Neodiprion lecontei: one gene and its partner. Each later gene encodes a partner of the first gene's protein in a complex. Links are inferred from orthologs where the notes say so. Each region holds a gene or a part of one and is shown in the gene's direction. Other genes may lie near its edges. The genes, in order: B-cell receptor-associated protein 31 and mitochondrial fission 1 protein.

What was found.
Region 2: the proteins of B-cell receptor-associated protein 31 (region 1) and mitochondrial fission 1 protein are in contact, whole or in part, in a crystal structure (PDB 8XWX), measured with the Homo sapiens proteins. The link is inferred for Neodiprion lecontei from reciprocal best matches to the Homo sapiens genes BCAP31 and FIS1. Residues at the interface, in NP_001132913.1 of Homo sapiens: Asp224, Leu227, Glu228, Ala231, Lys232, Ala235; in NP_057152.2 of Homo sapiens: Arg52, Val56, Glu59, Glu60, Pro63, Lys64, Lys89.

The regions. Positions count from the first base shown.
Region 1 is NC_060260.1:410,666-415,856, reverse strand, and holds B-cell receptor-associated protein 31, read left to right. Parts: upstream 1-2,044; 5' UTR 2,045-2,200; intron 2,201-2,423; exon of another isoform or gene 2,424-2,558; intron 2,559-3,019; 5' UTR 3,020-3,066; coding exon 3,067-3,334; intron 3,335-3,483; coding exon 3,484-3,911; 3' UTR 3,912-4,435; downstream 4,436-5,191. Other genes in the region: RNA 3'-terminal phosphate cyclase-like protein, read right to left, coding at 1-148, 238-342, 401-551, 716-890, 978-1,144, 1,235-1,474, 1,573-1,714. UniProt on the Homo sapiens protein: Functions as a chaperone protein. Is one of the most abundant endoplasmic reticulum (ER) proteins.
Region 2 is NC_060261.1:34,272,105-34,277,253, forward strand, and holds mitochondrial fission 1 protein, read left to right. Parts: upstream 1-2,064; 5' UTR 2,065-2,171; coding exon 2,172-2,216; intron 2,217-3,106; coding exon 3,107-3,316; intron 3,317-3,581; coding exon 3,582-3,687; intron 3,688-3,780; coding exon 3,781-3,872; 3' UTR 3,873-4,505; downstream 4,506-5,149. Other genes in the region: cell division control protein 6 homolog, read left to right, coding at 1-762, 879-1,096, 1,166-1,399. UniProt on the Homo sapiens protein: Involved in the fragmentation of the mitochondrial network and its perinuclear clustering. Plays a minor role in the recruitment and association of the fission mediator dynamin-related protein 1 (DNM1L) to the mitochondrial surface and mitochondrial fission.

The DNA.
Region 1 (5,191 bases):
GACACGGCGATTGATATTCGAATATCCTATTCCAACGCAAGTTAATAATACCAGACTTCGTTCCTCGACGATAGTTTCATCACTGCTCAACATGTCTATCTTAAAAACAACACCGAAAAAGTCTCTCAAATCCCGTAGAAATTGTATTCTGAAAATCAATAAGATATAGTCTAATGATAATCAAGCCTTTGATAATAACAATAAAGTGTTTTTTTGTACAAAATGACGTTCACTTACGCGGCTTGCGTCAATGGGCCTACGGTCATCTTTGAAATGTCTTTCTTACCAAGTGCCATAAACAGTGTTGCCATGCTTTGAAAGGCAGAATCTACACATCCACTTCTGTAAAGTAATTGTTTCTATAAAGGTGTTGATTAAATAATAACACATTTAAACTTACCTGTATATTTCATCCAAAAGATATAAGGCTGCCTTTTTACCAAGATCTTCAGGAACGCATGGTAGAGATCCGGTCTCTGTCAAGGATGAAAATGCTTCACCACTCAAAGATACTCCTGTTGTCGTTTCAGCCACTAAAGTAATTCCAAAACCTAGGGGTAAAAAATATTTATCTGGATATAACACGAATTTCAACCTCAACTGATAGAATATGTTCAAACTACATACTTTCATTGTGAATTAACTTACTGACAAAGAAAGTTGTTAACATCGATCTGTTAACTAGAAAAATTATTTTTCGTAATAATAATTTTACCTGGAGATTTACCGCTTGATGAACCTCGACTCTGATCTGTGTGAATATAAATGTCTGGAAGAAATTTTAACAGACATCCTTTAGCAGATTCCACCATGCGATTGGCTATTGCCGGGGATACACGTATCGAACACGCTACACCTCGCACTCGTTTGACCATTCCACAATTCTGGCACTATGGCAATAAGTTTAAGGTTAGGCTCCGTGTACCGCTGGATGATTTCAAATTTATGACAGTTGTTTAAAAAAATTGTTAACCAACCTGTATCGACTTGAGGTGACGATTCACCGGACATTTAAACCATACTTCGCCACCGCCTAATGGAGCAACGCCTCTCTTAGAAATATTCAATTCCACGTCATCATCCCCCACAATGAATTGCTTAATGACAGGAATTCCGCTGGCTTTCAGTCTATCGATAGAGGGGTCTGAAGTAATCGGAAACCAATTACTTTGATAGAACGTTTGATTTTTAATATGCACATTACAGAAATGAACAAATTTTCAAAAATTCTTACCAAGAGTATTGTTGGTTATTCCTTTGATTTTGAGTCTGATCATTTTCTTACAAAAAGGGGCTAACATCATGACAGCTTCTAAATAGTAACTGATACCTCGTTCAAGACTACATTCGTGTTCCAGATCTCCTCCGACCAGTAAACCAGGAATATAAGAAATAATAGTGCCAGTCTCATTCAACTCTATTCTGGTCCCATTTGTGATTTTGTCCATGAGTCGAACGAAGTTGATTTCATATTCTGTAATAAAAACCAAAAACATAAATGTCGAACTCCATGATTAAAACTAAGGAACTGAATTGGTCAACAATCGGATCCGTCCAGTTCGAAGTTCTAACCTCTAAGGCCGGGATTGTCATCGTTGATTCGTATCCCCGTGATTCTTACGGGTTTCCCGGACAATGTTGCCAGTAGTAAACGATACCTAAAGTAATTGCATCCTTCGTACGTGAGTACGTTGTTTATAAGTTTTCCTGGCATTCTTACTCAATTATATTACTGTGATCAAGTTTCAAACAATAATCACCGTAAAGCACGTGGTGTTTATTGCGATTCCCTATACTTTTTTTCTCTTATTTATTTTATCTTCTTTTTTTCTCGTCCAGAGAACCACTGACTGATACTTGACTGATACCTACTTATTGTCAGTGAGAGAAGACCTCGTTGACCTGCGTTCCTCAAATTGAGTCAAAACAACAATCTTTGACGTCTTTCCAATATTTAGGAACGCAAACTTTCGCCAACGGCCTGGCCAATCAAAGAAGACCCTGTGTTCGTGGAAAACGAAATAGAAGAAACGTAGAAAACATAGCAACATTTACGGGGTACAACGTCACCCTGTAATTTATTTATAAACTCAGGAATATCCGTACCGCACTTTGTACTTAGCTGGACGTTACGTTGGGCGAATGAGTGGTTAGAGATTTAGGTATTGCTTGAACCGGCGTGCGACTTTCTAAAAACCACGTAAGTAGTTGAGCCATTAATCTAAAAATTTCGCTAACCAAGTGAAAATAGACGATTCAGCCATTTCATATGTAATCTTCTGCGCTAACGTGAAATTTTTTTTATACCTTATCATCGCATTCGACAAGACAATATTCCTGTGAGATATGAGTACAAGACTCGCCTACATGTACGAGTTTCATTACGATTCAACAGTCAAATCCTTGCTCCCCGCCATCTCCTCGTTACATACATTTTTAGCCTTGCATCGACACAGAATATTTGTCAAATTCATAAATAGTATTGCGTCATAGGCTGAAGCTATCTGATCAAAGTTCGTAAAGTCGGTTGTGATTCACTTTTAAATCTTAGTATACAGGTATTGCATTTGATCTCATGTCATTACTGATTTTTTTTTTTTTTGTGACAATTCTCATTACTTTACTCACTTTTCTTGAGCCAAAGAATAATTCAGACAGTTCAAGTTTTTGGATATATTCAATAGTGTAAAATCGACTCGCATCCTCAGATACAGTATTTTGTAATAGATATCTGTAATTTGGGTAATCTTGGGTCTTTTTGGTCTTATGCTGACAGTAATCGACACTAGCAAGTCAGAAAAAAATTACTGAATGCTTAAATAAAATGGGCTCAAGAGTTTCCCATTTTTCATTTGTAATTCATCCGTTGGTCAGTCTATCATAGTACAATAATATCTTGGATGTGACGATTTAATTTAATTCAAAATTCACCCGGGCTAGAAACGACAGACATTTAAAAACTTTTCAGTACCTGATATTAACCAAGTGTGTAATTGAAATTGTTCATTATTATTTTCAGATATATTCGTCTGAAAGATAAGAAAGCAAGAAAAAACGGTAATAAAGATGAGCTTGCAATGGACGATTATCGCTTCTTTTTTATATGTGGAAATAGCTGTTGTTCTGCTCCTCGTTTTGCCAATAGCATCCCCGAAGAGTTGGCAACGGCTTTTCAAGTCCAGATTCCTTCAGAGCTTGAGCAGTCAAGCGTCGATATACTTTTTAGTCCTGCTGGCCATTTTGGTATTATTTTTGCTAGATGCGATTCGAGAAATGCGCAAGTATTCTAACATAGAGACTGGGGAACATGTTCACTTAAATACAGAAATGCAAGGTACGAAATTTGTATACTATTATTTGTTGAAAAATGAAGTGCATCTGTGATTCAAAATTCAAAAAATGGGACTACTACTGTATGTGGGTTAATGTGTTTTCGTAGAAATAACATTCTTTGATAACGAAATACAATTGCATAAATTATAGGTAATATGCGGCTGTTTCGGGCTCAACGGAATTTTTATATTTCTGGATTTTCGCTCTTTCTGAGCCTTGTGATCCGTCGCTTGGTTACACTGATTTCGGCCCAAGCAACGCTACTGGCACAAAGTGAGGCAGCTATGCGGCAAGCAGTATCTGCCACCACCACAGCAAAATCTCTACTGGCACAGAAATCATCAGGAGAAAGTGCCCAGAATGATTCCAACGAGGCTCACGACAAAGCAGTTTCTGAGCTTAAAAATCAAATCAAAGGCTTAAATAAACAAATTTCTGAGCTCGAAGCGGAATTGCAAAAGGAAAAGAAAGACAAAGAAGCAGTCACATCGCAAGCAAAATCTCTTGTGCAGGAATATGATCGACTGAGCGAAGAACACGCCAAGTTGCAATCTAGCGGAGACAAAAAAGTGGAATAATTTTCACCATACTTCCTTTTGCGCAAAAGAGATGGTATTTGTTTGTAATTCTAGCTATAAAAATAATGTTATATTTTTATTGTAGGATTTTCAAAGCTGCATTGTTTGATTATTGAAGTTCTCAGCAAGTCTTTCTCTTATATTTATCTTTGAATGCTTGAATATTTCATGTTTGTACATAGCAACAATTACATTGTGACGGATTTAATATTGCTAATTTTTTTCTAAAATTTGGTGAGGTGCTTGAGCATTTGTAATTTCATTATGGTAAAAAGTTACGTAGAAATGAGGGCTTCTAAAGTTTTTAAATGATATACATTCGTCAGTTTAAAATATCAATCAGAGTCTAAAATTATGAATAGCATTAACCGGCTGTTGTTTATTAATTACCATTAGAGCAATTTTTAATATCGTTAAACATATAAATGTAACGTCTATGATGTTTCCTGGTATTGTATGCATATTTTTGAACTGTTTGTATTACCTTTTATAGTTTCTTGAATACAAGAAGTATGTGAAAATTATTATCATCGATCTGATCTTCTTGCATCCCCAATTGTGATTACTCAGTACAGGAATGTTGTTCTATGATAGTGCGACAATGAAAAAACCTACGTATGATGTGAATTCCCATAAATATAACAATATTATTGGTCACTAGAAATATTTTTACTCAAACAAAACATGTATACATGTTGGAAAAAAAACAAAAAACTAAACTTGTTGACAAAATATCTAGTAGGCTAGATAAATATGACTTGTAAAGCTACATCGTGAAGAGACTATTAAACTTTATGGTACTGTGATAATTACAAATTGAAATTATGGAAAACTTTTACTAACATGCAAGTGGAAGGTGTAGATAACAAGCCCAATAAACTAAGTTTGGATATAAGTGACAGTAATGCTACAAAACTACGTGAAAACACAAGTCAGAACTCAGAGTCAAAATTTGAGCAACAATATTCTGGCATTAATTGGGAAAACGCAATATTCTTACCATTTGATGCATTCTTTGCCAAACTGATAATACTGTCTGTCATTCTTTTGATTTTCACTGTAATCTACAAAATTGCATACAGTGTAAATACCACCCTGTATATACCAGAATACTACATCATACCAAGCTGCGACGTGATTTACATGACTGATACCATCCTAAGAGTAGTCCACAGCATGTTTACTAGGATACGAGAGATGCGTCAGTACTTGCCTACGAATTGGCTCTTACTTGTTATTGATATAACTTCGTTGATACCATTGAACTTGATTTACGATGT
Region 2 (5,149 bases), on another chromosome or scaffold:
GTGCCCGTAAAGCTCTACACAGTTCAGTATCAGCGAATTTACCTGGGAGGGAAAAAGAGCTGACAGAATTGCGAGAGTTTATATCTCATCGCTTAAAGAACTTTAGTTCCGGTTCTCTCTATGTCTCTGGACCTCCAGGGACAGGGAAAACTGCTTCTCTGTCCAAGATTATGCTTGAGCCAGAGTTCAAGGCGGCGTTCAAAGTGATTTATATTAATTGTACGGCGATAAAGTCAGCTGGTGCTATTTACGCCAAAATCGTTGAAGATCTGGGTCTGAATCTTGCGAAAACTGAGAAGGCGAACAGGTCAACACTTGAAAAGTATCTGAAGTCAAAGCATCAAATGCTCCTACTTGTTCTCGATGAAATCGATCAGCTGACCACCAGGAGTCAGTCGGTTCTCTACACAATTTTTGAATGGCCCTCTAAAGAGGGATCCAAACTTGTTCTAATCGGAATAGCAAACGCTCTGGACCTTACTGACAGAATTCTTCCCAGGCTACAGGCAAGGTGTGAACTCAGGCCAAAATTGATGCATTTCGCACCTTATTCTAAACAGCAGATAGTCAATATCATCACGGAAAGACTCGAGGAGGCAAATGTATCTGATGTTCTCAATAAAGTAGCTGTGCAAATGTTGGCTGCTAAGGTTGCAGCTATTTCTGGGGACATTAGGAAGGCTTTGGATATCAGCCGTAGAGTCATAGAGATTGCAGAAGCTCAGAGAGTCGCTCAGGTTTTACAGCCCTGTAACGACAATGGTGAGCAATTTGGAGATTGGAAAATTCGTCGATTTTCAATTTAAAAATTACAATCTTAAACTAATTCTTTTGTCGTGTTACCATTGATATGGGATGAGTTAATTTTCGGATTAAAGGTAGTAACATTGCGGGAAGTCCACGAAAACAACAGGAGATACCTCAAGAGAAATCAGTTGGTTTAAAGGAAGTTGTCATGGTTCTGAACAGCGTTTATGGAGGTGCCCAGAACATCAACAATGAAGAGAGTATATTTCCCTTGCAGCAGAAGCTGCTACTGTGTTCGCTGATGCTAATTCTTAATAAGGGCAAGAACAAGGATCTGACGATTGGAATGGTAATTGAACTCGTGGATGGTGATAATAAACTGCGAAAAAATTGAATCAATTTTTTTTCCTATTTGCAGCTGCACGAGGTGTACAAAAAAGTTTGCAAGAAACGAAATATACACATAGTCGACATGTCCGAGTTCGTTAGTTTGTGCTCCCTTGTCGAAACTCGAGGTGTATTAAGAATAGTGGGTAAAAAGGAACCCAGATTATCGAAGGTACATCTACTGTGGGACCAGGAAGAACTTGGAGGAGCATTGCAGGATAAAACTATGATGTCAGAAATTTTAAATGACGCATCTTGTCTGTAGAACGGCTCCAAGATTGTCTATTAGCAGCATCAACGGATAAGACTAGAGTGCCTTTCGTTTTTATTAGAAACAATTTTTAATTAACGTTACGTTTGATTGTAAATTATTTTTTGCGCTACTCAGATTGTTCACGTCTTTTTGAAGTGCACGCGATAATGTTTTGGAAGATTTTTCAATCAATCTTATTTATTATCGATTATTTTATCATACTTCGCAAGCGGCTTATTCACTTATCATAATTGCACAAGTCAACCGAAACAATATTGACGCGCTCTTCGAGTAACATTTTTTCACCCCGTACTGACCGAATAATAATTGTTATTGTACCTAATGAATTAGCCTAATTGCTTAGCAATCATCAATTCCATATTTTGTATGAATGTAGTATCGTGGATTAATAAAGTATTGTATTTGTATACGAAGAAGAAATTTTCTTGATGCAATCGCATTCAGTATGCCCTTATTTACTGGTCCATTGATCGAAAGCAAACTCCAACAAAATTCTCAAAAGTTTGAAACGAAAATTTTTTCAACGATTCGTCCCTTGAAACGGAATGGTCGGTAAGGTAAAGTTATCGATAGGAACATAAGATGTATTTAAATTGTTCGCGCTTGTAACGCTTGGCAGTATCAACGCCGATTGGTGCATGGCGACAAGGAAAAGAAGAGAGGGAACTGAGGTATCCATCAGCGTATAAGTCGGTAGGTATTACCTCTGGTATTACCAGTGTTAGCAGTTTTTGACGGTGGTGCCTAACGTGACATCGGAAACATGGAAGACGTACTGGACGAGGTGGTTTCTTCTGAAGATTTAAAGGTCGGTTGACATTTTTTTAATTCAATATTAATTATCACGGTTACGATAATATTCCATGGCATGTGTCGCGGGTGAATTTGACAGAAATTCGAAGCGTATTTTGATTTCTACGAATCGCCGTCTCTACTCCGGGATCGCAGCTAGGCGAGGTTAATAGTCTGAACTGAATAATGGGAGATCCTAAAGATCATTTCTAACATCCGCGACATACGAATAGTTGGATTCTCTCAGTTCTCCGAATCGTTATCTTTTTATAACAGCTGCTACTCCAGCGATACATTTGTACTTCCTAACAAATCGTGCTGCGTATTCACGACAAAGTCGTACCACCATAACCTTTAAAGTATCGATTCACGCACGACATTGAGCAAATTTAATCTTAATTTCCAGTTCCGTTACCGTAGGACCAAATTCGTTATTAACGCGGCATCCGTTTCTTCAAACAAAATACAAATGTATCTATTCAACGGCATGTCACGCAACTCACCGATACGTAATCATTTCAAAATAACGTGACTCACCTCTAAAGAATAAGAGAAAAAAAAAAAAAACATAAAAAATGCTAGAGAGAACCTGAAAAATGGGAGTTACTTGTTTATCATTTTTGGTTCTCCAAACTGAATTGACTTTGTAAATTAAACTTTATGATTATTTCTTATGTTGCAGCTTTTTATTACTCCGACATTTTTCCATTTCGAACCTACATATTTCACGACTTCATTTTATCATTTTCAGCACTTTTTCTTTGTCTATATCTGAATCTTGATAGCGAGTAACCAACTCACTAAACGTCATGATAGTTACTTGGCTGTAATAGATAATACTATGGTGTATAATATGTTTAATCGTTGTGCAATAAATGTATGTTTGATTACTCTGATTATTTACAGAAATTCGAAAGAGTTTATCACGAACAGCTGCACGCTTCAAATGTTACCCAAAATGCGCAGTTTGAATATGCATGGTGTTTGGTCAGAAGCAAGTACTCGGCAGATATTCGAAAAGGAATTATCTTGCTTGAAGATTTGTTCAACAAAGAAGGAGAGGCGCTAAAACGTGACTGCATATACTACCTAGCGATTGGAAATGCTAGAATAAAAGTATTTATTATTGAATTGAATATTAATATCATTAAACGATGGAATTTATCTTTGTATCTTTAAATAGGGAATAACTAAACCTTTTGCAAATCTCATTGTTTGTCAAGATAACTTTGTAACAGTTTTTACTTTCTTAACATTCTTTGATATAATTTGATTGCTCAAATTAAATTCATAGCCAGTTACCTTTCATGTAGGAGTCTGAAATATCAAAACTCGTGCATTTGAGCTTCAATAACACATCTGTATATCATTTTCTATTAAGGAATACACCAAAGCTTTGTCATATGTGAGAGCGTTTCTGCAAATTGAACCAGGCAACCAGCAGGTCCAGCATTTAGAAACGACAATAAAAAAGAAAATGGAAAAGGGTAAGACTATAAATTTTTTAATATAATATGTTGAAAATATTTATGTAAAAATAATTGTTACCTACAATTTTTTTTTCTCGTTTTTTACCAAAGAGGGACTTGTTGGCATGGCAGTAGCTGGAGGAGTAATAATTGGACTTGCAAGTATTTTGGGATTAGGAATTGCAATGGCAAAGAAGGGTTAATGAACACTGTCAGAGTCTGTGCATCATCGACAATGTTTAATGGCAAACGATGTACAGCAGATAGAGTGATAACTTTTGAGTAAAAAATTACACTGATACACATATAGTGATGATCTTTGCGTAATACGAATTAAAAATAAATGTATTTTCTTTCCATCATTTCGTTTCGATTTTCAATTTAGGTGAAATAAAAATCGCCTTCCATGTTTTTATACTTATATATTTAAACTGATTTTTAGTAGTGTAATTTGAAAAATCAATTTCTTAAAAAATGTTACCGCATCACGAATTACAGTTCGTATTATTCAAAAATAGGCGGTTAACGTCACAATAATTCCGTAGTAGTTATGGATGCTTGTTTTGGATACATTCCAAAATCTTTAGCAATGCATTATCCTCTTATTGTATAGCTTCCTTGACCTTATTTAAATGTTACATTAAAAAAAAATCTTGTCTCAATTTGTACGCGTAAATTAATATATAAATCGACTATTCGTACTATAGTAGATATATTTATGCTATTTTTAGGCTGTGTATATAAGAATGAAGTTACAGTGTGAAATGATCATATCTATGTTATTTACGGAACCCTAAATAAAATCTGTGTTTCATTCAGTTACCAACACAGACAAAGGCGTTTCTTTCTTTTCTGCATTTCCTGTACACCAGTAATTACCGCATCATTACTTCAATAACCCATTTCTCTTTCCGTACTCATTTCTGATATTTTACAAAAAGTTCGGTAGTATTATAATGAAAATAAATTTCTTACCTCTGAAAATGACATCGAAAGCGTTCAAATTACGCGCGCCGGTGTCTTAACACAAACTATGCGAGCTATTGTTTTCCGTTCTTCAGTCACTAGTTTTTCGAAATATATCGCGCATTGGTCACAGGGAGTTCGTGCGGGGTTTCGAATAAACAGGCAAGCTTGTTACCTTGTAAGAAGTTCCGTTCCTCTCAGATTGCCGGCTGATAAAATTTGAAAATACCGCAAAGATTTGCATGCAACACACAAAGTGGGTGAGTTCCGGTTTCGATGATTGACAATTGACGATCAGTCGGTCGTCGCCGCGTTGTTCTAACGACGACCGTTGAGAAGTTTGAATCCTTTCGCAGCGTCACTATCTGTTCGCGTATCAAATAAATTATACAGAAATTCTACCTGTAAAGGTATACAAGGTGAATCGTTCAAAATACGAAAAACTCTAAAAGTTGTGAAACTATATACGATAACGTGCGGTGCGAGCAGCGCCGATTTTATCTCTGTTCTTCAT